Pelodiscus sinensis: one gene and its partners. The protein of the gene in region 1 purifies or fractionates together with the protein of each later gene. This does not show direct contact. Links are inferred from orthologs where the notes say so. Each region holds a gene or a part of one and is shown in the gene's direction. Other genes may lie near its edges. The genes, in order: EPS15L1, ITSN2 and AP2S1.

Region 1 (7,443 bases):
ATCGCATTGTCATGCAGGTGTGGGATGAAGAACAGTGGCTACAGAACTTCTGGATGCAGAAAGCAACCTTTCTCGAACTGTGTAATGAGCTGGCCCCTGAACTATGGCACAAAGACACCCAAATGAAAGCTGCTCTCTCCATAGAGAAGCATGTTGCCATTGCTATGTGGAAGCTGGTGACTCACAATTGCTACTGTTCAGTTACAAAGCAGTTTGGAGTGGGGAATTCTACCATTCGGGCAGTGCTTATGCAAGTGTGCAGAGAAATAAATTGCATAGGACTGTGACTCTGGGAAATGTGGATGACATAGTAGCTGGCTTCGCTAATATGGGCTTTCCAAATATGGTGGGACAATCGATGGCACACACATTCCCATTGTAGTGCTACCCCACCATGCTCTAGAGTATGCCAATTATAAGGAGTAGTTCTTCATGGTGTTTCAGATGCCTGTGGATCACCATGGGCTTTTCACAGACATAATGTGGGGTGGTCTGGAAAGGTGCATGATGCGCATCTTCAGGAACTGGGGAAATATGGGGGTGCAGGATTCAGAGCAGTGGGCTGAGTGTGTGTAGAGGTGAGTGAAAGTGGCCAAGGGTGCCATTTCAGGGGGCGGGGGAGCTGCAGCCTCACATACTGGGTTGTGTTGCTTTTCCTGCTTCCTCTGATTAGGGAGTGAAGGAAAGTGCAGAGTCTGCTGCATTCCCTTCACTCCCAGCTGCACAGGAGAGAGGCAGAAGAGGAACACAGCAGGCTCTGCACTTCCCCATACTCTCTAGTCAGAGGAAGCAGGAAAAGCAAAAGGGACCTGGTATGTTCCCTGAAATTGCAGCGAGGTAGGAACCTCAGGGCTGGGGCAGTCCTGGAGGTGGGGGGAAGAGCACCCCCAGTCAACCCTCTAACCTGCCTGGTTTCCTGCTGCTGAGTCCCTCCCACTGCAGACAAGTGTCTCAGCTGGCCAGCCAGCTTCTTATCAGAGCGCTGCACTCAGGCACTTTCTTTCACCTCTGGACACCCTGCTCCTTATGTAGCCAAACTCTGTGCTGCCTTGATTCCAGCAGCACAGTATGAGGAGTGGTTGGGAGAATGTCGTACCAAGGTGGAGGAGAAATGCCATGGAATCTCCATGAGAAAGTTGATAAGTACATCAGGCAAATCTATGGCACCCTCTCCCAACAAGATTCCACTGATATTGGTCTTTGTGCACAGTGATGCTCTGTTTGGACATAACACAGACCCAGGGGCACTTAGCCAGCTCACAGAAAGACAGCTTCCAGAGGGCCGAGGCTCACCATCCGCAGAGGCTGCTTGGGCTGCAGCCCCTGTCCATGGGGAGCTCAGCAGGGAGCTGGGTCCATGACATACAGGGGCAGCTGTTGCCAAGCAGCCCCTGTTCACAGCGGCCTGGGTTCAAGCTGGCTCCTGGAGCCTCGCTGAAGCTCTGCAGTGGCGCTTATCGACTAATTGTGCAGTCAATACAATTTGTATTGAATATACGATTAGCTTGATAACCACAATTTAACATCCTTACCTTGAACCTCAGACCTCCCTGTTTCTTTCCCTCACCCTGTGAGGCTGGAGCGCCAGAGGAGTGATGTATCTCAGCTGGGGATCAGATCAGTGAGGACTGGGGGATTTTGGAGTAGCTTTTTCGTTTCTCATCTGTGTGGTCCCCAACTGATTTTTCTGTGGGTCAGTGGCCCCCAACCCAAAAAAGGTTCCCTGCCCCTCCCATAAATAAAGAAAACATTGAAACTTTTTGGGTGGGACATAAATATTTTACTTTATCTAAAAGGAAGTTTGATAAACGAACATGAGAAAGTTAAAATGCTTAATCAGTTTAATTATTTAAATTAAACCATTCTCCCTAGCTGCAGCACTAGCAAAATGGCTCTGGCATAATTATGTAATTAACTATGAATTTCCATTAGTGGTCTGCAGAAAGGTTTACACTGAGGCAGATGGTTCACAGGCCAAAAAGTTTGAGAACAACTGAAATAGAGGCACCTCCCAACCTTTGCCCCCAGTTTACTGCAATTGCATTAATCCAACTTGCATTGCATTTAGTAGCCTGGGTCCTATGGGTAGGGTTGCCAGGTGTCCGGTATTGTACCAGACAGTCCAGTATTTGCGCGCTCTGCCCAGTAAAAAAAAATCAGAAAATACTGGACATGTGCAATGTCCGGCATTTTCTGATTTTTCTGGCTGCACGCCAGACAGCTCTCCCTTCCACTCCCCCTTTCTCCCGGCCAGCACCGCAGCCCACGACTCCCCTCCCCCCCACCAGCTCTGCTTCCTGCTGGCCCATTCCTCTTCCTGATCTCCCTGGCCAGCACCGCTGCTCCCGCCTTGCCAGCTCTGCTTCCTGCCCCCCCTTACTCCCGGCCAGCACCACCCCATCCCGGCCGGTGCTCCCTCCCCCCGATATCCCACAGCCAGCCCCTTTCTGCCTGACAACACCCCGACAACCAGTCCTGCTTCCCATTGGCCCTCCCCATCTCCCCCGGCCAGCTCTGTTGCGCCCTCCCCCCCCCCCCCCCCGCTAGCTGTTTCCAGGCCCCCTCCTTCCCGGCCAGCACCGCACCCTTCCTGGCCGGTCTTTCTCCCCCCTGCCCCATTAAGTGTTACTGTGGGTTGTTGTTTTTTTTTTTAATGACTACCTGGTAACCCCTAGCAGTGATCCAGGTTTGTGCAGTCTTTTTTTTTTTTTTTTTTTTTTTTGACTCAACAACTTTGATGGTCCCCCCCCCCCTTTTTTTCCTTCAACAAAATTCCCCCCCCCTTTAGGGGGGGGTCAGTATTTTTGTTTCAGCCATCTGGCAACCCTACCTATGGGGTCCAAAACCATCCCTATTGGTAGAGGACAATGGGAGGAATTCTTAGAGGAGTCACATGACACCCTTTACTTCTGGTCATGTGTCCATTTTGACCCTGGAAGTACTACCTACAGGAGTGGGACTTCATGTGGCAGGTAGGTGGGGCATAAGGAATCAGGGGGCATGGCTAATGAGGCCAGGGTGTGTGGCTAACAAGTCCCCATTTTTGGTTCAGAAAATATGGTCATCATACATATCATGCACATACAACATCAGAGGCTCATACAACTGCACATCCTCTAATGCAGTGGTCACCAACCAGTGGATCGGGTTCTACTGGTAGATCTTGGAGCCTCTGACAGGCGATCCTGACTGGTTTGGCTAAGAGGCTATTGAGTACCAGCACTTCAGCTGCATCTCCCTCCTGCTGCTGCGCAACTCCTGCTCTTTGCCTTGGAGCTGCCTCTCCCCAGCCCTGGGAGCCTCCTGCTGTTCAGGGCAGGGGAGGAAGAAGAGGAGCACTGATGTCAAGCACTCTCCCACCCTGTATCCTATATCCACAGAGCAGGGCAGGGGGCATAACAGGACTTGGGATGGAGTTTGCTGGCTGCTTTTGGGAGTGGTAAGCCAGGGCACTGAGCCTGCTTAGGACATGGGCTCTGACTGGGCCCTGATTACCTCAGGTGGCTCCTGAGTGGTGGTAGAATCATAGAACTGGAAGAGACCTCAGAAGGTCGTCAAGTCCTCTCCCTGCTCTAGGCAGGACCAATTCCAACTAAATCAACCCGGCCAGGGCTTTGTCAAGCCGAGACTTAAACACATCTAGGGATGGAGACTCCACTACTTCCCTAGGGAACCCATCCCAGTGTTTCCCCACCCTCCTAGTGAAATAGTTTTTCCTAATATCCAACCTGGACCTCTCCCACCACAACTTGAGACCATTGCTCCTCGTTCTGCATCTGTCACCACTGAGAACAGCCTCTCTCCATCCTCTTTGGAACCCCCCTTCAGGAAGTTGAAGGCTGCTCTCAAATCCCCCCTCACTCTTCGCTTCTGCAGACTAAACAGACCCAACTCCCTCAGCCTCTCCTCACAGGTCATGTGCTCCAGCCCCCTAATCATTTTGGCTGCCTCCGCTGGACCCTCTCCAGTGCGTCCACGTCCCTTCTGTAGTGGGGGGTCCCGTAGGGCTGAGCCAGGCTCATAGTTTTTTAAAGCTGTTCCTTTTTAAAAGGTTCAAGATGTGGGGGGGGGGGGGGGGCTGCCAAGAATCCCTCCTGCACCAGAACTCTGGAATTACAGCTCCCTCCTCAGGTCACCTCCACTGAACAGTGACTAACCCCCCTCCACGTGCCCAGTGGGATGAAACGTGGACGTGGCCGACTCACCCCGCGCCCAACCGCCTCGCGGAGCCTGCGTGTCAGTGTCGCGCTGGACACGCGTGGGACTCGGCGGTAGGTGAGCGCGCCCGGAGCCGGGAAATCGGGCGCCTGCCTGTCGCCTCAAGGGCGGGGCGCGGGGAGCGAGCCGCGCTCTGCGGCCTCGGCATCCGGACCGGGCTGCGCCGAGCCCTGAGCGTGCCCCGCCGCGTCTGGCGCCTCCTCGCGCCCGTCGGCGGCGATCGCTCCGCCCCCGGTGCCCGCCCTGCCGGAGTCACTCGGTGGGAGCAAGATGGCGGCGCTCATTCCCCACAGCCAGCAGGTAACCGGCCCGGCCCGGCGGCCTCCCAGTGCAGCCGGCAGCTGGAGCGCGCCAGGGGACGGGGCTCCGGGCCCATCCCCTTGTGGCGGGGGGGAGCTGGGCCCCATCCGGCGCGGGCGGGTCAGCTCGGAGGGGGCAGGCCCTCAGCGCCCTCCCCGCCGCAGCCGGGCCAGGGTTGAGGCTGTGGGGTGGGAGCCGGCCTGCGCCGCCCGCGGGGGTTGGGGGCTGAGCCCCGCGGGGGCGGCTCGGACGCTGGCTTCCTGGCTGGCACGAAGCGCTGTAATGTCCCTCGAGGCAGGCAGGCTGCAGGGCCCGACGTTGAGCCACTGGCGCGCAGGGCGCTGTGGTCGCGGGAGGCCCTGGGCCGGGCCTCGGGAGACCCGGACTGAGTGCTCAGGGGGGCTCTAGGCTCCTTGTCTAACCGTCACTTCAGCTGGTTCATTTCTCCAGGCCGGGGTCTCCCCATCTCATGCTGCCTAATGGGCAGGGACCAGTCCACCACCTAACGAGCACAACGGCTTCATGCTGCGGGAGGGGCTGGGGCCTCTTGGCAGAAGGGGTAGATGCAAATACACTACAGACACGTAGTGGGAAGGGCCTCTAGAAGTCATCAAGTCCAGCCCCTGTGCTGTGGCAGGGCCATGTAGTACTCCAGCCCATTCTGAGGTGCCATCCTCCCCTTCCCCCACCTCTGCTAGAGGCAGTGTGGAGAGATAAGGGAGGCTGCAGCAAAACAGCCACTGTCCCCAGTTGTCTCAGCTGGGAGCCAAGCAGTCCCTGTTCTCGGTGGCTCCAGGCTGGCTGGTCACAGGAGCAGCCCCTGCCCATGGCCACGGTGAACAGAAGCTACTCCAGCAGTGGCTCCTGTTCCTGGCAGACAGGGCTGTCCGCCGCGAACAGGGGCTGCTGGACTCTGCGAACTGGGACTGAGCATACCTGCTCATGCTGGTTCAGGACGCTGCACCTTTGCATTTTAAATGTAGTAAGCATCCGGCGGCTCTTATAGCATTTAAAATGCAGAGCTGTTGTGTGAGTGGGTCTCAGAACTGGCACAAGCTTCTGGAGCTATCTGCTGCGGCTTTGCAGAGCGGTCCATATCAATTTGTGTTGACTGCACGATTAGACAGCTAGCCACAATTTAACAACCTTAGCAGGGAGTGAAGTTTATTTTCAATCTTAGAAAGTGCCTGGATGTGGTTTTGGTGGAAGAGTGGGGGTTGTAAGTACAGTAGATCCTCAAGAATTATGAACTGACCAGTCATCCAAAAACCTTATCTGAATCTAGAAGTCCACAATCAGGCATCAGAAGAAACAAACAAAATAAAAGCCCCAGACATAGGAGGGCTAGCAGTATTGCCAGGCCCTGGGGGGGGGGGGGTGTGTGTGGTGTGTGGTGTGTGTGTATTTGTTTGTTTGGGGGGGCAATGGCTTCATTCTCCTGGAGGGGTTAAGGCCTTTTGGTAGAAGGGGTAGATGCAAATACACTACAGAAAAGTAGAGTGGGAAGGACCTCTAGAAGTCATCAAGTCCAGCCCCCTGTGCTGTAGCAGGGCTATGTAGTACTCCAGCTCATTCTAGCCCAGGGGTGGGCAATCCCTTATGAGTGTTTGTCCAATCTTTTTTTTTTTTTTAAACTTCCAATGATAGGATTCCACAAACTCCCACGGAAGGCTATATTAGAACTTATGGAATAATAACTGGAAGGAAACTTGAGAAGTCAAGTCCAGTCCCCTGCAGGACCAACCACTGTCTAGACCACCTGTCTGACATTTGTCTAACCTGTTCTTAGAAATCACCAATGATGAAGATTCCACAACCTTCCTAGGCAGTTTATTCCAGTGTGTAACTGTCCTTGCTACAATTTAAACCCATTGCTTCTTGTCCTCCTTTCAGAGGATTAAGATAATATATTTTTTTTCTCCCTCTTCCTTGTAACAATCTTTTAGGTACTTGAAAGCTTTTAGCACATCCTTTCTCAGTCCTCCTCTCTTTTACAGACTAAACAAACCCAGTTCTTTCAGTCTTCCCTCATAGGTCATGTTTTCTAGACTTTTAATCATTTTTATTGCTCTTCTCCGGACCTTCTCCAGTTTGTCCACGTTTTTCTTGAAATGTGGTACTCGGAACTGGTCACGATACTTGAGTTGAGGCCTTATCAGCAAGGAGTAGAGCAGAATTACGTCTCATCTCTTGCTTACAACACTCCTGCACATCCTAGACTTATGTTTACCTTTTTTTTTTTTTTTTTTTTTTTTTTTTTGCAACAGTGTCACACTGTTCACTCATATTTAGCTTGTGGTCCACCATGATCCCCAGATCTCTTTCCACAGTACTGCTTCCTAGGCAGTCATTTACTGTTTATGTAAATGTAGGCAACTGATTGTTCCTTCCTAAGTGGAATACTTTGTATTTGTCCTTATTGAATTTCATCCTCTTTACCTCAGACTGTTTTTCTAGTTTGTCTAGCTCATCTGAAGAAGTGGGTTTTGCCCACTAAAGCTCATGATACTATATATTAGTTTCTAAAGTGCTACAGGACTACTAGTTTTTTTCTAGACTAACCATGCCAAGTTTTATTTTTAATCTTTCCTCATAGGGTCTGGTTGGCTCAGCCTTTTGTAACTGTTGTTGCTTTCTCCTCTGGACTTGTTACTTTGTCCACCTCTCTTCTAAGGTGTGGTTCCTAGAACTGGATGTAGTACTCCAGCTCATTCTAGCCCAAGGTGGGCAATACAAAAAAACGCAGCCAACAGGGTTAGTCCTTGCAGGCCACTGCCACTATGTTTACCTGTGCCTCAGCAGGTATTGGAGGACGCAGCTCTGGTTGGCCGTGAATCGCCATTCGCAGCCAATGTGAGTGGCAGGAAGCGCCACAGACTGGGACACCACTTCCCCGCATTCGTGTTGCCTGCAAATGGTGATTTC
Region 2 (7,568 bases), on another chromosome or scaffold:
AGGTGGGCGCACATTAATGCCCCGGCTGGTGCCATGGCGCCCGCAGGCACCGCGTTGGGGACCACTGCCCTATGCTATAAGGTTCCTACTCAGGCTCTGAATCCAGGGGGGAACTAATAAATTCCTGGGATTCCTCTCCTTTCATCCCATCATACCACTAGCTTTTGTAAGACAGCTCCATTGTCAAACAATGGCTGTCAGGGAACATAGAAAAAATATATTGTGTGAAACACATGGAATTCTGGTAACTGCTGTTCAGATAGCCAAAAATATTTTGGCCTTGGAAAGGGTTCAGAAAAGGGCCACTAAAATGATTAGGGGTTTCAAATGGGTCACATATGAGGAGAGGTTAAAACGACTGAGACTTTTCAGTTTAGAAAAGAGGAGACTGAGGGGGGATATGATAGAGGTCTATAAAATCATGAGAGGTGTGGAGAGGGCCGATAAAGAAAAGTTATTTATTAGTTCCCTAAATAGAAGAACTAGAGGACATCAAATGAAATTAATGGGTAGCAGGTTTAAAACTAATAAAAAGGAAGTTCTTCACACAGCGTGTAGTTAACCTGTAGAACTCCTTGCCAGAGGAGGCTGTGAAGGCTAGGACTATAGTAGAGTTTAAAGAGAAGCTAGATAATTTCATGGAGGTTAGGTCCATAAAAGGCTATTAGCCAGGGGATAAAATGGTTTCCTTGGCATCTGTTTGTCAGAGGCTGGAGAGAGATGGCAGGAGACAAATTGCTTGATCATTGTCTTTGGTCCACCCTCTCTGGGGCACCTGGTGCTGGCCACTGTCAGCAGACAGGATACTGGGCTAGAAGGACCTTTGGTCTGACCCAGTACGGCCGTTCTTATGGGACTGGGCCATCTCCTCTCCCCAAAGGTGGTTCTTATTTCACCCTGGATTGATTCAATAATGAGTTATTTCAGAGAGTATTATGAAGACAACAATTCTGATGAGGAATTTCATAAGATCTTCTCAGTAACAGTAATCACACTTCTTTAAAGTTCAGTCATGAAATATGTAGCCACCAACTTTCAGTGCAATTGAAATAAAAATGTAGCCCTAAAATATATTATGGTTTTGTTCAAACTATTTTGCACACCTTTATACATCAGATTTATACTTAATTGTCAGCATGTAGCTGCGAACAGTCATTCTCAATCAGTAGTACATCAGCTCTGCATGCCTCCAAGGGTACATGTACTACTGACTGTTGTAAAACTAGGCAAATATCTCTAGATATCTCTTTAACAGCTGGATATTTGCCTAGTTTTACAACAGGCTACAAAAAGCACTAGCAAAGTCAGTAGAAACTAAAATTTCATACCTATAATGACGTGTTTATACAGCTCTCTATATACTATGTACTGAAATGTACACATAATATTTATATTCCAGTTGGTTTATTTTATTAATTTATTTTATTAATTATATGGAAAGTCATTAACAGTGTACTAACACTTTTGCATTTTTATGCCTAATTTTGTAAGCAAGTAAGGGAGGTGAAACTTGAAGTATGCAAAACAAAACAGACTCCTGAAAGTCTGGGAAGGTTGAGAGCCATTAGTCTAAAATGTTGTGAGGGGTGTACCTAAAGTAGTGCAGTACAGGAATAAGTAAGACCCACCAGGATTGGGCTGTAGTCTTCAGGAATTAATCTTTATTTACATATTAAGATTTATGATGTGTGAGAGATCTCCAGGAATACATCCAACCCAAACTGGCAACCCTAGAAGGCTACTATGTTAGATTCATGGGGGGATGGATAGGCAAAATTCTCTAGTTACTATAAACATAACTGTAACAACAGGTCAAGACTCACTACCATGGCACCTCCTGCAGATCACACTGGGAATTAGTTCTGTCCTCAGCAGGGCACTCCATTCTGGCCAGTGTCTCTCTCCATGCTCTCCCTGCGCTCTGCTTTGGACCCACTTCACTCCCAGGACCATAGGACACTGCCCACCACACTGGTTTCTCAACCCCTTTTTCCCCTAGGTATTATCAGCAGTCCTTAGTCTCACATCTGCCATCATGGCCAACTACAGTCTCACTTTAGTCCCTCAGCTCAGGGGCAAGCCACAGTCCATAAAGGTCACTTCTCGGTGTGACTAGGTGCAGTGTAAGGACCCCAGGCCCACCCACTACTCTAGGTCCCAGATCAGGGACCCTCTGGCAGCAGTCTTGTCCTGCTCTCCTCTCTCCCACTCTACTGCCTTCTGTTCCCTGGGCTACTTCCCCTATGACCCTTGCACCTTCCTGGCCCCTGTATCAAGGCCTGCAGCCTGGCAGATATCAGTCTGGAGCTTTTCTCCTGCTCCCCTAAGCCTGCCTACCACTACTTCCTCTATCTAAGATGTATCCTACGGAACAAGTGCTGCATCCTCCCTAGTCATCTTCCAGCTGCTTACTGTGCTCCTGAGCCCTTATTCCTCAAAAAATGAGGTATACAGACTCTTGAACTAAAGGTTGTTTTTTTTTCCAACAAATGGCCCCGTCTACACAGGGCTTTTTATCACAAAAACCTTTTCCCCAAAAAGGACTGGAAGATATGCAAATGAGAGCGTGATATAGGCAAATAAGTGCTCAATTTGCATTTCCTCTTCCACAAAAATCCTGCAGTGTAAACATAACCTGAGTCTCAGGCATTGGTTCTATATTCAGGGGCATTTTTTGCCTTTATGCCTTGGCTCTGCACCTTAGGGCCTTGTTAGTCACTATGCTGTGGCACCCCACCCAGAGGCACCGTGAGCCTGTATAACCTATGATACTTTATGGGGAGTACCCAGTTACTGCCTCCCCTTAGCATGTTTATGCCTCCTGGAGTCGCTCCCCAACTTCACTGGTCTAGGTACATCCCATTGTCTCTTTACAAGTTAACAACAGATACACTCTAACTCCCTTTCCTCCTCTCCGCCCCGCCCTCCTCCCCATCTTTACGGAGTATTCAGACCCTACTCAACTGGATACTCACAGTATTCACTACTCCCACAGGAGCGGTACAGTTTATCAGTGTATCAGATATACCTTAGATCACAGTTTCATGTAGCACACTGTGATTATATAAGTTGATAGTTTAAAAAAAAAGTTTATTTAACAAAGCATAGAGATTTTAATGAGAGAAAGGAGACATATTGGAAGTAGATGGCTTCATATAAAATAAAATCATAATACACATTCCAGAACATAAACTTATTTATCTAGACGCTTTAAGCTGTTTTACAACAATATTCATCCGAATTCCTCCTAGCATTATAAAGCCAGGCTTGACTGTGATTTTTCCTTTAGGAGACAAGTCATGCTATTGGCTTGCCTCTTTGGTGGAAGATATTATGTATCTCCCCGTATTACCTAATATACCATCCTGATGTTTTGGTTTTAGTCATGAACAGGGCACACCCCTGTGGATTTATTTCCTTATAGATATTCTCTCTTGTAGATTTTGCAATCTTACATCAGGTATCTGGCTTGCTGTGCAAACAGACATCCTTTGCAAGATATACAGTGCACAATACACACGTGACCAGAGACGACAGCCCTCTGCTACTTGGCTGTCTGAAAGAAATATGTCCCAGGTATATCCCTAGTGACATGTCTTACTTAACTCCTTTAAGAACATATTTTTCAGTTTAGATATATAATTCCTGAAATATTACCTTTACATGCAACAGTGACTGTTGGTAGGGATCTCCCATGTCACCATTTGGTGAATTATTAAGGCTACAATTTAGTCACAGTATTCAAAGATTCTGTGACTTTACTGGACCTCCCTGACTTCTGCTCCAGCTGTCAGCAAATGAAGTCAGGCCTAGAGGTGGGGACTGTATGCCCCTACCCTGTTGCAATTAGATGGATGGCTGGAACCAGGATCCTGGAGCCCCTGCCCTGTAGTTTGCTGGGGACTGCAGCCAAACTGGGCTCTCCTCTCCCGCAGCTGCTGCCAGCTCTGGAGTGGGAGCTGTGCAACCCCTGTGGCTGTGCTCCCTCTACCCCTGCTGTGACCCAACCCATGTCTTTTGTTGGGGACTGCATTGTGGGCCGCATGTCCCCCTCGTGCGTCCCATGGCTGTACCCCACCCTTGGCTGCAGCTGTGCCCATGCATCCTTGTCCTGCAGCTGTGCCCAGCTCCAGAGCAGAGGTAGAGCACCCTCTATGGTTGCAACGCACCACAACCTACAGCTTTTTTTGGGAGGCTGCGCTATAGCCTGGGCCGTACAACCCATTCCTGAGGGCTGATGTGACAAAATCTTAGCCTTAATTATGATGCATATTTCCTACCTGAGAGATCCTCGTGAAACTCTACGCCCCCGTCCTGTGCCGTCTGCCAACTGGCACCAAGTTCCTGGGGTACGTACCTTGGCTTGGCACCCAGGGCCCTGTAAGCCCATATCTCAGGCCTTGGTCCCACACCTGCCCATATCTTGAGCCTGGGACATACACCCTGGGGTGCTGTTAGGCCCTTCTATGCCTTGGTCCCACACCCAGCTGCTGTCGGCCTGAATCAGGGCTGGCCCCGAGCCCAGAGGGGCTGCTCTCACTTAGTCCCTGGGCCCCCTCTGGGCTCATCCCTAGGGCCCCGGTCGCACACCCAGGAGCCCCGCTGCTGGCCCGTGTCCGCGGGCAGCTCCTGCTCCCTCCCCCTCCTGCCGCAGCTCGCCTTCTTCCTGCGGGCCAGGCCCCCGCCTCCGCCGCCATGTTGTCGGGCTGAAGCCGCCGCAGGAGGCAGAGGGAGCGAGCGAGCGAGCGCCGAGCAGAGCAACAGGTACCGCGCTGCCCGGCTGCGGCCTGAGCCGTAAGGGGCCGAGGGAGCAGAGCCGGCTGGGTGAGCGGCCTCGGCCCCCGCGGGGGGACGGCGGGGTCTGTGCGGAGGGTGGGAATGGGGCGCTCTTGCTGGGGGGCCGAGGAAGCAAGGTCCGGGGGCACCGGGTCGTGAGTGTGTTGGGGGTCTGGGGAGAGAGGATTTGGGGGGGCTTGCAGGGAGAGAGGATTTGGGGGGGTTCGTTCGGGGGCCACGAAGAGGGAGCCGATAGGGGTTGCTGTGGGTTGGGTTAGGCGGCCCAGTGTGGGAGCAGGTAGGAGAGGTAACATGTCCTTGTTTGGGGGGGGACCCAGGGAGGGAGCAGGTAGGAGAGGTAACATGTCCTTGTTTGGGGGGGGACCCAGGGAGGGAGCAGGTAGGAGAGGTAACATGTCCTTGTTTGGGGGGGGAACCCAGGGAGGGAGCAGGTAGGAGAGGTAACATGTCCTTGTTTGGGGGGGGGACCCAGGGAGGGAACAGGTAGGAGAGGTAACATGTCCTTGTTTGGGGGGGGGGACCCAGGGAGGGAACAGGTAGGAGAGGTAACATGTCCTTGTTTGGGGGGGGGACCCAGGGAGGGAGCAGGTAGGAGAGGTAACATGTCCTTGTTTGGGGGGGGGGACCCAGGGAGGGAGCAGGTAGGAGAGGTAACATGTCCTTGTTTGGGGGGGGGGACCCAGGGAGGGAACAGGTAGGAGAGGTAACATGTCCTTGTTTGGGGGGGGGGGACCCAGGGAGGGAGCAGGTAGGAGAGGTAACATGTCCTTGTTTGGGGGGGGGGACCCAGGGAGGGAACAGGTAGGAGAGGTAACATGTCCTTGTTTGGGGGGGGGGGACCCAGGGAGGGAGCAGGTGGGGCGCCCTTGCTTGGGAGGAACCCAGGAAGGGAGCAGGCGGAGGGGGCGTTGGTTGGGGGGAGCGCTGCTAGGGGGTGCCCTTGATTGGGGGGGAGTGCAGGAAGGGAGCAGGGAAAAGATGAGATATGTCCTTGGGGAGGGAGAGGGAGTCTAAGGGGAAAACATAGGGGGTGCCTCTGATGGCGGGGTGGGGGAGCTCTCAGGGAAGGAGCAGGTAAGGGTGTGCCCTTGATTGAGAGAGTCCTGGGGAGGAACTCTAGGGAGCAGTTTGGGGGCTTTTGTGAGCAGTAACCTGAGGGGAATGGCCTGGGGAACACATGACTGGGATTTGAAGTGTTTAGTGAGGTAATGTTTGTGGCTGCTTGTGAGTGATTTAAAGGGCAGAATGTGACCGTATGAGACCATGATGCAGCCCATCAGTTCCACCTCTAGTCTGTTTCATTTGTCAACTTGGAAACCTTACCTGAGAGATTTTTCCCCCTCTTCTTTGAAGTTTTCTCTGGGGAATGGGGTTGGGATTTAGTCTTCTCCAGTGTAAGCACCTCTTGCATAGTATAGCAGGAGAGAGACAATCTTTGATTTTGTTCATTTTATTTAGCTCACATCACAGTGAGCAGCTGGGTACTGCAAAAAAGTTTCAAACCACAGTAACTGAAAATAGAACCTTAACAACAGAATGGGCAGTGGATGGGGAAATGTTTCAGGTTTGTGGTTTTTATTAGGTTGAACAGACATTTCTTTTGCATTAGAAGTTCTTCCTCTCTAAAAATAATGAAGTACTTATCTCTTTTATGAAAAGTAATTTTTTTTAACAATCAAAGCTCTTGTGAAGATCTTGCATTTTACCCCAAGGCTCCTTTTCAATACAGCTGATAAGTGCTGTGTTCAGTTTCTATAGGTTTTACACTTACATTTTAAAGGCTGCCAGAAATGAGTGAGACAAAATACAGGACTATGTAGCACTTTAAAGACTAACAAGATGGTTTATTAGATGATGAGCTTTCGTGGGCCAGACCCACTTCCTGAGGAAGTGGGTCTGGCCCACGAAAGCTCATCATCTAATAAACCATCTTGTTAGTCTTTAAAGTGCTACATAGTCCTGTATTTTGTTTCAGCTACACCAGACTAACACGGCTACATCTCTGTCACTATCAGAAATGAGTGAGGATTGTTTACAAATTTCCCCCACACATGTTCTCTCTGATTTGGAAGATGGAGGAGTAAATTACTGATGCTAGAACACTTTGATGTGTTTCTATGGGAACTAATTTTCTTCTCCTAAGAGTTGGTTTCATTGTTTCAGTAGTAAAGTGTGGATGGCAAATTTTATAATCTGTGTATATGTGTTATAATCTGTTGAGAAATAAAGATGGTAGCACTGATTAATAGGTTCAGAATTAAGTAAGAATCAAAATACAGAATATCTGTGCCTTGAGAGTTTACAGTCTGTAAGAAGATAAAACATTGGTAATGGATGAATAGATGAATTGTACTGGGAACCTCAGAGAATGGAATAATGAAGATTATTATAATTATTGGCTTACTTCTTAGGCTCCTGTGAAAACCTATAATTAGAAGAAATTAAGAACTGATGAAAACTAAATTCCATGGTTAGTGCCTTAGTAAATGATGTCCTTTTTTCTGTCTGTTTATGACATTGTCATTTTTTCTCAGGAAATTAAATGTTGCTACCATCTAGGGAATCTGGTTGTGCTTTTTAAGCATTAATATAATGTGAATAATAAATTTAAAATATATGATTTGCAGATAGTGTCACACCACTCACAGGTAGCAAAATTTGAAAGTAGATTTTACTTTTAATAATACTTAACACTTCATCTAAAAAGTGCTTTTACAAATATTATTCAGCTCTTATGAAATCTATGTTAAGGCAGTATGCGGTGTTACTCT
Region 3 (7,274 bases), on another chromosome or scaffold:
CTACATCCCTGCAGTGCCAGCAAGGCAGCACCAAACTCACCTCTCAGCCTGTGCTGGATTCACAAACCAGGCATTCCCCCCTGAACAGCATCACCCAAGTAGCTGTGCCCTAAGAGGAAAACACAGTCTTTATCTCAGTGGGCAGAGCACTCACTGGGGCTGTGGGAAATCCAGGTTCAAATCCCTCCCCCTTCCCAGAAGTTGTCCCACTTTGTATAAATACTTAACTAAGGGCCGGAGAGAGGCTGCCTCTAACCCAGTGCCCGAGGCTGCCTGTGGGGGATGGGAGACCCACATCCCAGTCCCTGTGCTCAGATGGGAGTTATAGGAGCTGGCATTGGAGGGCAGGATGTGCTCTGATCACATGACTGTGGGCTCTGTCGGGCATTCTCACGGGACATGCCTCAAAGAGAGGGGCAAGCGGAACGTAGTGCAGTCCACGTGACTACGGAAGCACTGAATCCATTAGCCCAGGCTCTGCTGAAGCAGGCAGCCTGCAAAGAGGAGGCATTGCTTCTCCTGGCAGCAGTGAGGTAAACTGAGGCTGTGCATGGAGAAGAAGACGCTGCCTGTGCGTGACGGAGCACACTGCTCAATCTAGCCAGGCAAAGTGCTCAGTCTTTGTGACAGCTGGTGTGTTGAGCTAGAGCAGCCGCATTGGCCACCTTTTGGCAGGTACAGACACCTGGGGGCATCAGCCCGACCCAGAAGGGGTTTCCGTGTAAAGGGAACCAAGCGCGACAGGGACAACGAGCAATCAAGATTTGTCGTTCTTACTGTAGGAGAAGATGCCAAGGAAGAGGCAATCCAGGATTTCCAGGGCAAGCTGTGTAAGCCCCCAAATGGGTGCCCGGAGCAGGGTACTACTCTGAACCCACGTTCCCTCTAATTTTTTCCATCCATAAATTTTGTTATGGGCACTGAGACATGTGCGGATGTGCACCACCAGTAGAAACACATGCTGCCAGCTATGGGTGCTCTGCTAATCAGCGGGGCAGCGTCTAAATCTCTCCTGAGTGCTCAGCTTAGTGGGAACGCTGGTGTGAAGCCGAAGCGAACGCAGTGCTCTCTCTCCATCGGCCGTCGGTTGATCTCTGAAGGATGCTGGCCAGATGCTGAGACACTGAGGGGGCATTAAGGGCATGACCAGAACGCAGAATAAGAAAGCAGGCCAGCGAGTTGCAAGGACGGGTTTTTCTGTGGCGCCTGTCAGAAGTTCGGGAGCCCAGGGGACAGTTAACACACAACGCTGAAGTGCGGGGATGATCCCAGACCCAAGAGCAGGTGTTTGAAAGAGTAAAAACAACCCTAAGCAAGGCCCCAGCCCTAACGTGCGATGGGGGGTACAGTAGCCGTGGAAGCTCCCTAAAAGCATGGGGGGCACTGGCCCTGTCCCCGCACTCCCTTTTCCCCAGAGGTCCCACCCCTGAGCTGCCTCTTCCCCCCCCCAAGACCTCCCTCCTGTGTTGCCTCTTTCCTCCGAGCCCCCATGCCACTCATGACCCAAGTCCTTGCCCTTGCATTGTCTCTTCCCCTGTGGCTCCACCCTTGCCCCCCAAAACCCTGCCTCTCACTAGCTCTTCTGGGCCCCGTCGATCACCCTTAGGGCTGGTTAAAAGTGAGAGGGAGATGGAGCTGTGGCCCCTGACTGTTCTGGCATCTCTGCAGGATGGCTCGGGGAAGACCTCACTGCTCACTGATGCAAAGCCGGTCTCCTGTACGGGCTGAGTTCTCACGGACACTGAACAGGGGCATGCTCCGCTAGAAAAGGAGCCGCTGGCTGTGCCCCAGGGTGGCGGGTAACGCAGGCTAGGAAGGCATGGCCTTCCCCAAACTGCCTAGGCTCCAGCCAGCATGGCTGCCTCGCCTGCCGGGAAGGCCAGAGCTGTGCCTTCTGGGCTGTAGTCGGTGCCAAAGGAGAAGCTGAGCACATGGCAGCCCTCAGGCCTCTCAAAGAAACGGGGAGGAAGGGAAGAGCCAGCAATCAAGGCAGCCAAGAGGCTGATGGCAAAGGCAAAGCAGAGGATGGGATCTCTACCAGGCTATGTTGGGGTACTGGAATAGACTCTCCCAGGGACCAGACAGCCACCCACCCAGGGACTGATGGGCCAGAGACCTGAGGCTCTACTTTCTAACAGGAGAGAAAGAGGCACATAAATACAAAAAGGGCGTGTTTAACTCTTTTGTTAAGGGAATACCCAAATACTGTACTAAGAGCATAAATAATATAGACTATTACCAAGTGCTTACTACTTACAATAATAAACTATAGATACCAATACATGAACTTTTGCAAGTTTGTACATGCAACTTTCCCTTACTTCTTGCCGCCAATATCAAATGCATTGCTATTAACAAGAACAAGAGGAATTACGTAACAATATACTGCGTCATTTCAGAAAAAAAATCTATTTTTCCTGTCTGGGCTGTAAGTCCAGCTCCACTCTTGCTGTCCTGCTGTTGGCTATTTTTGGCCTGAAGTACCCTTTTCAGTCAATATTCTTGTGGCTGTACCTTTTTACTGAGTTTATCCACAAACAGGTTTTCTTCACTTAGTGGGCCCTCACTGTGAACACTATTCCTTCAATAGTTGCCCACTAGTCATTCTCTCTGTTCATCCTTTGTAAGGAGGCGTCTCGTTTACTGTTTTCAGGATCTGTTTTCATCTAACACAGCTCTTTGATCAAGTCCCTTTTTCACCAATTATATTTCATTTTCTGCCCTCCCCCCATACTCTTTCTCTAGTACAACTATAGATTTTATTTCCCTCTACTTACCTTCTCTAGCAGAGTCTGCTCATATACCCAGGTTTGGGGGAGGGAGGGGCGATTTCTGCTTCTCTTGACCTGAATCCTTTCCTAGTTTCCTGCTTTCCTCCTTTTCATTTCCCAGTCTTCTACTTTCATGTTCCTGTTCTTTTATCACCTCGCCTCCTACCCAGACTCCAGTTCATCTAGTAACTCAGCATCTAGGTTCTTATAGAATCGTAGGAGTGGAAGGGACCTCCAGAGGTCTTCTAGTCCAGTTTCCCTCCACCTCTAGCAGCTTTTTTTTTCCAATTGGCCCCTTTGGGTGGCTTTCAAAGTCACTCCCCAGCTCCAGCTGCCCTCATTGGCTGTTCTTTCTCCCCAGGCCAGCACTCCCTGCTGCTGCATTACAAGCTAGTCCCAGGGGCAGGGTAACAACACTGCCATCCACTGGGTGCAATGGGGAATGCTCAACTGTGTGCCACAAGGCCCTTATACTACTGATCGCTCATGAAGAGTCTCCTTTTGCTCAGATGGCATAGGCCTGGGATTTTGGAGCAGGAAGTCCAGAGTTCGATCCTCAGTGTGATTACACTATAAAACAGTAGCACTAACGGATACTCCACAAGCCTCCAAAAGACGAAGTCCTTGCTCGAAGGAGCTTGCGTGTCACTTTAATCTGCCCAGGGTCCAGTCCCTGTGAGCCGAAACCACACGTTTAATCTCAGCTCTTTACCGGGTCCCTCCTCCCGTCTCTGCGAGCCTGCCCGTGAATTTATCCCCATTGTACAGGCGACAAATGGAGGCCAGGAGAGACGAGGCGACTTGCCGGGGGCCATGCAGGGAGCCGGGGCAGGGCCTTGATAGCTCACTGGAGCGGACGCTCCCGGTTTGGGGGTGGCCGCAGCCCAGAGCCGGCTGTTGGGGGGGGCTCGCCCCCTTCCCTCCCCCCAGGTTCAGGGTGCGGAAGGAGCAGGCCCGGGGCTGCCAGGGAGGGGGCCAGGCTCAGCCCCCCCCAGCCCGCAGTGGGGGCGAATCGGGCTATTAGCTGCCCCCCCCCCACTGCTGCGGGGGGGGGGGAGGACCAGGTGTGGGGGGGGGGCAGGGCCAACATCCCATCCAGGGGTGCCCCTCCCCCCAGGTTCAGGGACTCAGACCCACATGGGGGCCTGCTGTGGGGGGCGGGGCTGTGGGGCAGGCTCGGGCCTACTAGGCCTCGCCCAGCCGCGGGCTCGGGTCGGCCGCTCTGCCGGCCCCGCGCGCAGGCTGCCCGCTGGCCACGCCAGGCGAGGGCCCGGCTCCAGCCCGCCCCCCGCCCGAGGCACCGCGGAGCCCGGGCGCCCCCTGGCGGGGACGGCGAGCAACGACCCCGCCCCGCCCTGGGCGGGAGACACTACAACGCCCAGCGTGCACCGCTGCGGCCGCGCGGCCTGCCGGGAAGGGCCGCTCCGCCTAGGCAGCCCGGAACTACAGCTCCCAGGAGGCCAGGCGACGGATATCCGGTGGGAGGGGGCAAGGGGGAAGAAGCGGAGGGGGAAGAAGACGGCCTGGGGGGGTCTGGCAGGGACGGAACTATCATGGTAAGGGGGGGGGGAGGGATGTGGGTCTGAGTCCCTGGCCCTGGGGGGAGGGGTGCCACTGGGAGACCCTGGGGGGGAGGGGATGTGGGTCTGTGTCCCTGGCCCTAGGGGGAGGGGTGCCACTGGGAGACCCTGGGGGGGAGGGGATGTGGGTCTGTGTCCCTGGCCCTGGGGGGAGGGGCGCCACTGGGAGACCCTGGGGGGGAGGGGATGTGGGTCTGAGTCCCTGGCCCTGGGGGGAGGGGCGCCACTGGGAGACCCTGGGGGGGAGGGGATGTGGGTCTGAGTCCCTGGCCCTGGGGGGAGGGGTGCCACTGGGAGACCCTGGGGGGGAGGGGATGTGGGTCTGAGTCCCTGGCCCTGGGGGGAGGGCCGCCACTGGGAGACCCTGGGGGGGAGGGGATGTGGGTCTGAGTCCCTGGCCCCAGGGGGAGGGGAACCCCTGGATGGGATGTGGACCATCATCCCTGGGGAAAGGGGAGTGTTGGTGCCCTCCAGGGGATGATTTGGGTCAGGCTCCCCAGTTCTGAGGTCTAAATAAGACTTTGTCCCTGCCAGGCGTGTGGGGCGCTGGGCTGGATGGTTCTATCCCTGAGGGTGGAGAAAGGCTCCTGTAGGGGAGGAATGGGAGTGAGTCTCCCTATCCTGGGAGGGGGCACGCTGTTGGGGTATATCCTCCCCCACTCCCGGGGAAGTAGGGAGCAGCTCCGGTGCCTGAGGAGGGAGACCCTTTGGGGGTATGATATTTGGCAGGCGAAGGGACTGGAGGTAGGCAAAAGAAGAAGGCTGGTACTGGGCCTGTTTTTGCAGAGCTGTAATTCTGACCAAGCTCTTATAACTGTGAGGGCTGTGCACAGGTGTTGTTCAGGCTCTGCGGCTTGTTAGTCTTTAAAGTGCTACATAGTCCTGTATTTTGTTGCGGCTATCTCTGGTGAGGGATGCAGTAGCTGTTTATTCATGTATCCCTCACCTATGACCAGCTGATCACAGAAATTTTCCTCCTCTTTAAGGAGCAAGATTAGGAGGCTCGGAGTCCTAGTCCCAGTCGTCTTTATGAATTCCGGGGGGCCATGCGGTGTAGCTTTGTGGCAAATGGGGACATCTTAGATGCTCTCAGATTTGGGCTGATATTACCATCGAACTAAGACAAACTCCCCTTGAGTGGCCCTGTCTGACCTAGTCTGATGGAACAGGGGATCCATAATAACATGCAGTCACTTCTGTGCCTAGCCGAGTGGTTCCAATTTATTATGGGCTGAGTGAGCCAAAGCTGTTGCCATCATGATCGGATGGTCACAAAAAACCCGCCAGCCTGTATAGGCTCCGCACTGGAGACTGAGAACTGAACTTTGTATGTGTATAATTGAACTGCAAAAGTTAGAGATGGAAAAACACTATTTAATTCAATAAAGACAAATGCAATATACTCCACTTAAGGAACAATCAGTTGCACACATACAAAATGGGAAGTGACTGCCTAGGGAGGAGTATTGCAGAAAGGGATCTAGGGTTCATAGTGTACCACAAGCTAAATATGAGTCAACAATGTGACACTTGCAAAAAAAAAAAAAAAATTCTAGGATGTATTAACAGGAGTGTTGGAAGCAAGATATGAGAAGTAATTCCTCTCTACTCTGTGCTGATTAGGTCTCAGCTGGAGTATTGTGTCCAGTTCAGGAAAGATGTGGCCAAATTGGAGAAGGCCCTGAGAAGATCAATAAAAATGATGAAAGGTTTAGAAAACATGACCTATGAGGGAAGACTGAAAGAATATGTTTAGTTTGGAAAAGAGAAGACTGAGAGGGGATCGCAGTTTTCAAGTACTTAAAAGGTTGTTACAAAGAGAAGGGAGAAACATTATTCTCTTCAACCTCTGATGATAGGACAAGAAGCAATGGGCTTAAATTGCTGGAGGAGAGGTTTATGCTGGACGTTAGGAAAAACTCTCTTAACTGTCACTGGAATAAATTGCCTAGAGAGGTTGTGGAATCTCCATCTTTGTAGATTTTTAAGAGCAGGTTGGACAGGCACTTGTCAGGGATGATCTAAATCCTTCTGCGAGTGCACCTGATTACCTCTTAAGGTTCCTTCCAGTTCTAGTAGTCTATGAGTCTCCACTCCATTTCTCTGCAAATTCAGTTCATCTCCTGACGCCTGGACTGGTTGAAACATCCTAAGCCAGAGATACTTAATAGGCCGCATGCAGATCAAATGTGGCCCATCAGCTCATCTTAAAAACATATTTATAATTAAATTTGAGAACAGCGTTATGCTGCCTATCATTTGCCTGTCATTTCCTTAGTAAGTAACATACTGAATCTGAAATTCTTGTGAGAACATTGACCCTGCCTATTTTTTTCATTACTGATGGAAATGGAGCAAAAAATGATTGCAAATGGGAGCAACCATCATGAAGTCAACAGTGAAAACTGAGCTTTTAACACTAACAGCGGATTTTCTTTTTATTACGCCATCTCGTTGAAATGCAAAGTTTTTGGTTTTAGTATGCCAAGCCAGTACCGCAGTCTAAGGTCATCACTGTGAGGTACCATTTTAAATCCAAGCACAGTAATTTCAACTGAAGTCTTTGCGTCACTCTTCAGATGTCGTTCTCATAACATCAGTGACTGGACAGAAGAAAACAAGAACTGCTTTACTTCAGATAATGATGGTACTAACTAAAAAGAAAAGTGTTTTCCAGGATGCTGAGCTTGTGAAGGAGTCAGTGTTCCCTAAATCTTTTCCATCCACGTGTGAGTTTTTTCCATCCATGTGTGGAATAAATTGTGTGATGTGCACTGGGGCATGTGAAAATGTGCATCACCGATATAAACACAAAACCGAGCTGTGGGCACTCTGCTAATCAGGTGGACAGCACCTGACTTTCTTCTGTGCGGCCGCACAAACACAGTTTTCAGGAGTGCATGCGGGAGGAGCTTTTTGCTGG

What was found.
Region 2: the proteins of EPS15L1 (region 1) and ITSN2 purify together in Homo sapiens (affinity purification with mass spectrometry; 5 studies listed by BioGRID and IntAct, with this or other methods). This does not show direct contact. The link is inferred for Pelodiscus sinensis from reciprocal best matches to the Homo sapiens genes EPS15L1 and ITSN2.
Region 3: the proteins of EPS15L1 (region 1) and AP2S1 purify together in Homo sapiens (affinity purification with mass spectrometry; 4 studies listed by BioGRID and IntAct, counting the BioPlex papers as one, with this or other methods). This does not show direct contact. The link is inferred for Pelodiscus sinensis from reciprocal best matches to the Homo sapiens genes EPS15L1 and AP2S1.

The regions. Positions count from the first base shown.
Region 1 is NC_134729.1:31,113,598-31,121,040, forward strand, and holds the start of EPS15L1 (epidermal growth factor receptor substrate 15-like 1), read left to right. Parts: upstream 1-4,436; 5' UTR 4,437-4,488; coding exon 4,489-4,518; intron 4,519-7,443.
Region 2 is NC_134713.1:14,268,527-14,276,094, forward strand, and holds the start of ITSN2 (intersectin-2), read left to right. Parts: upstream 1-4,465; 5' UTR 4,466-4,764; exon of another isoform or gene 4,765-4,824; intron 4,825-7,246; exon of another isoform or gene 7,247-7,267; intron 7,268-7,568.
Region 3 is NW_027465849.1:5,625,555-5,632,828, forward strand, and holds the start of AP2S1 (AP-2 complex subunit sigma), read left to right. Parts: upstream 1-4,210; 5' UTR 4,211-4,324; coding exon 4,325-4,327; intron 4,328-7,274. UniProt on the Homo sapiens protein: Component of the adaptor protein complex 2 (AP-2). Adaptor protein complexes function in protein transport via transport vesicles in different membrane traffic pathways.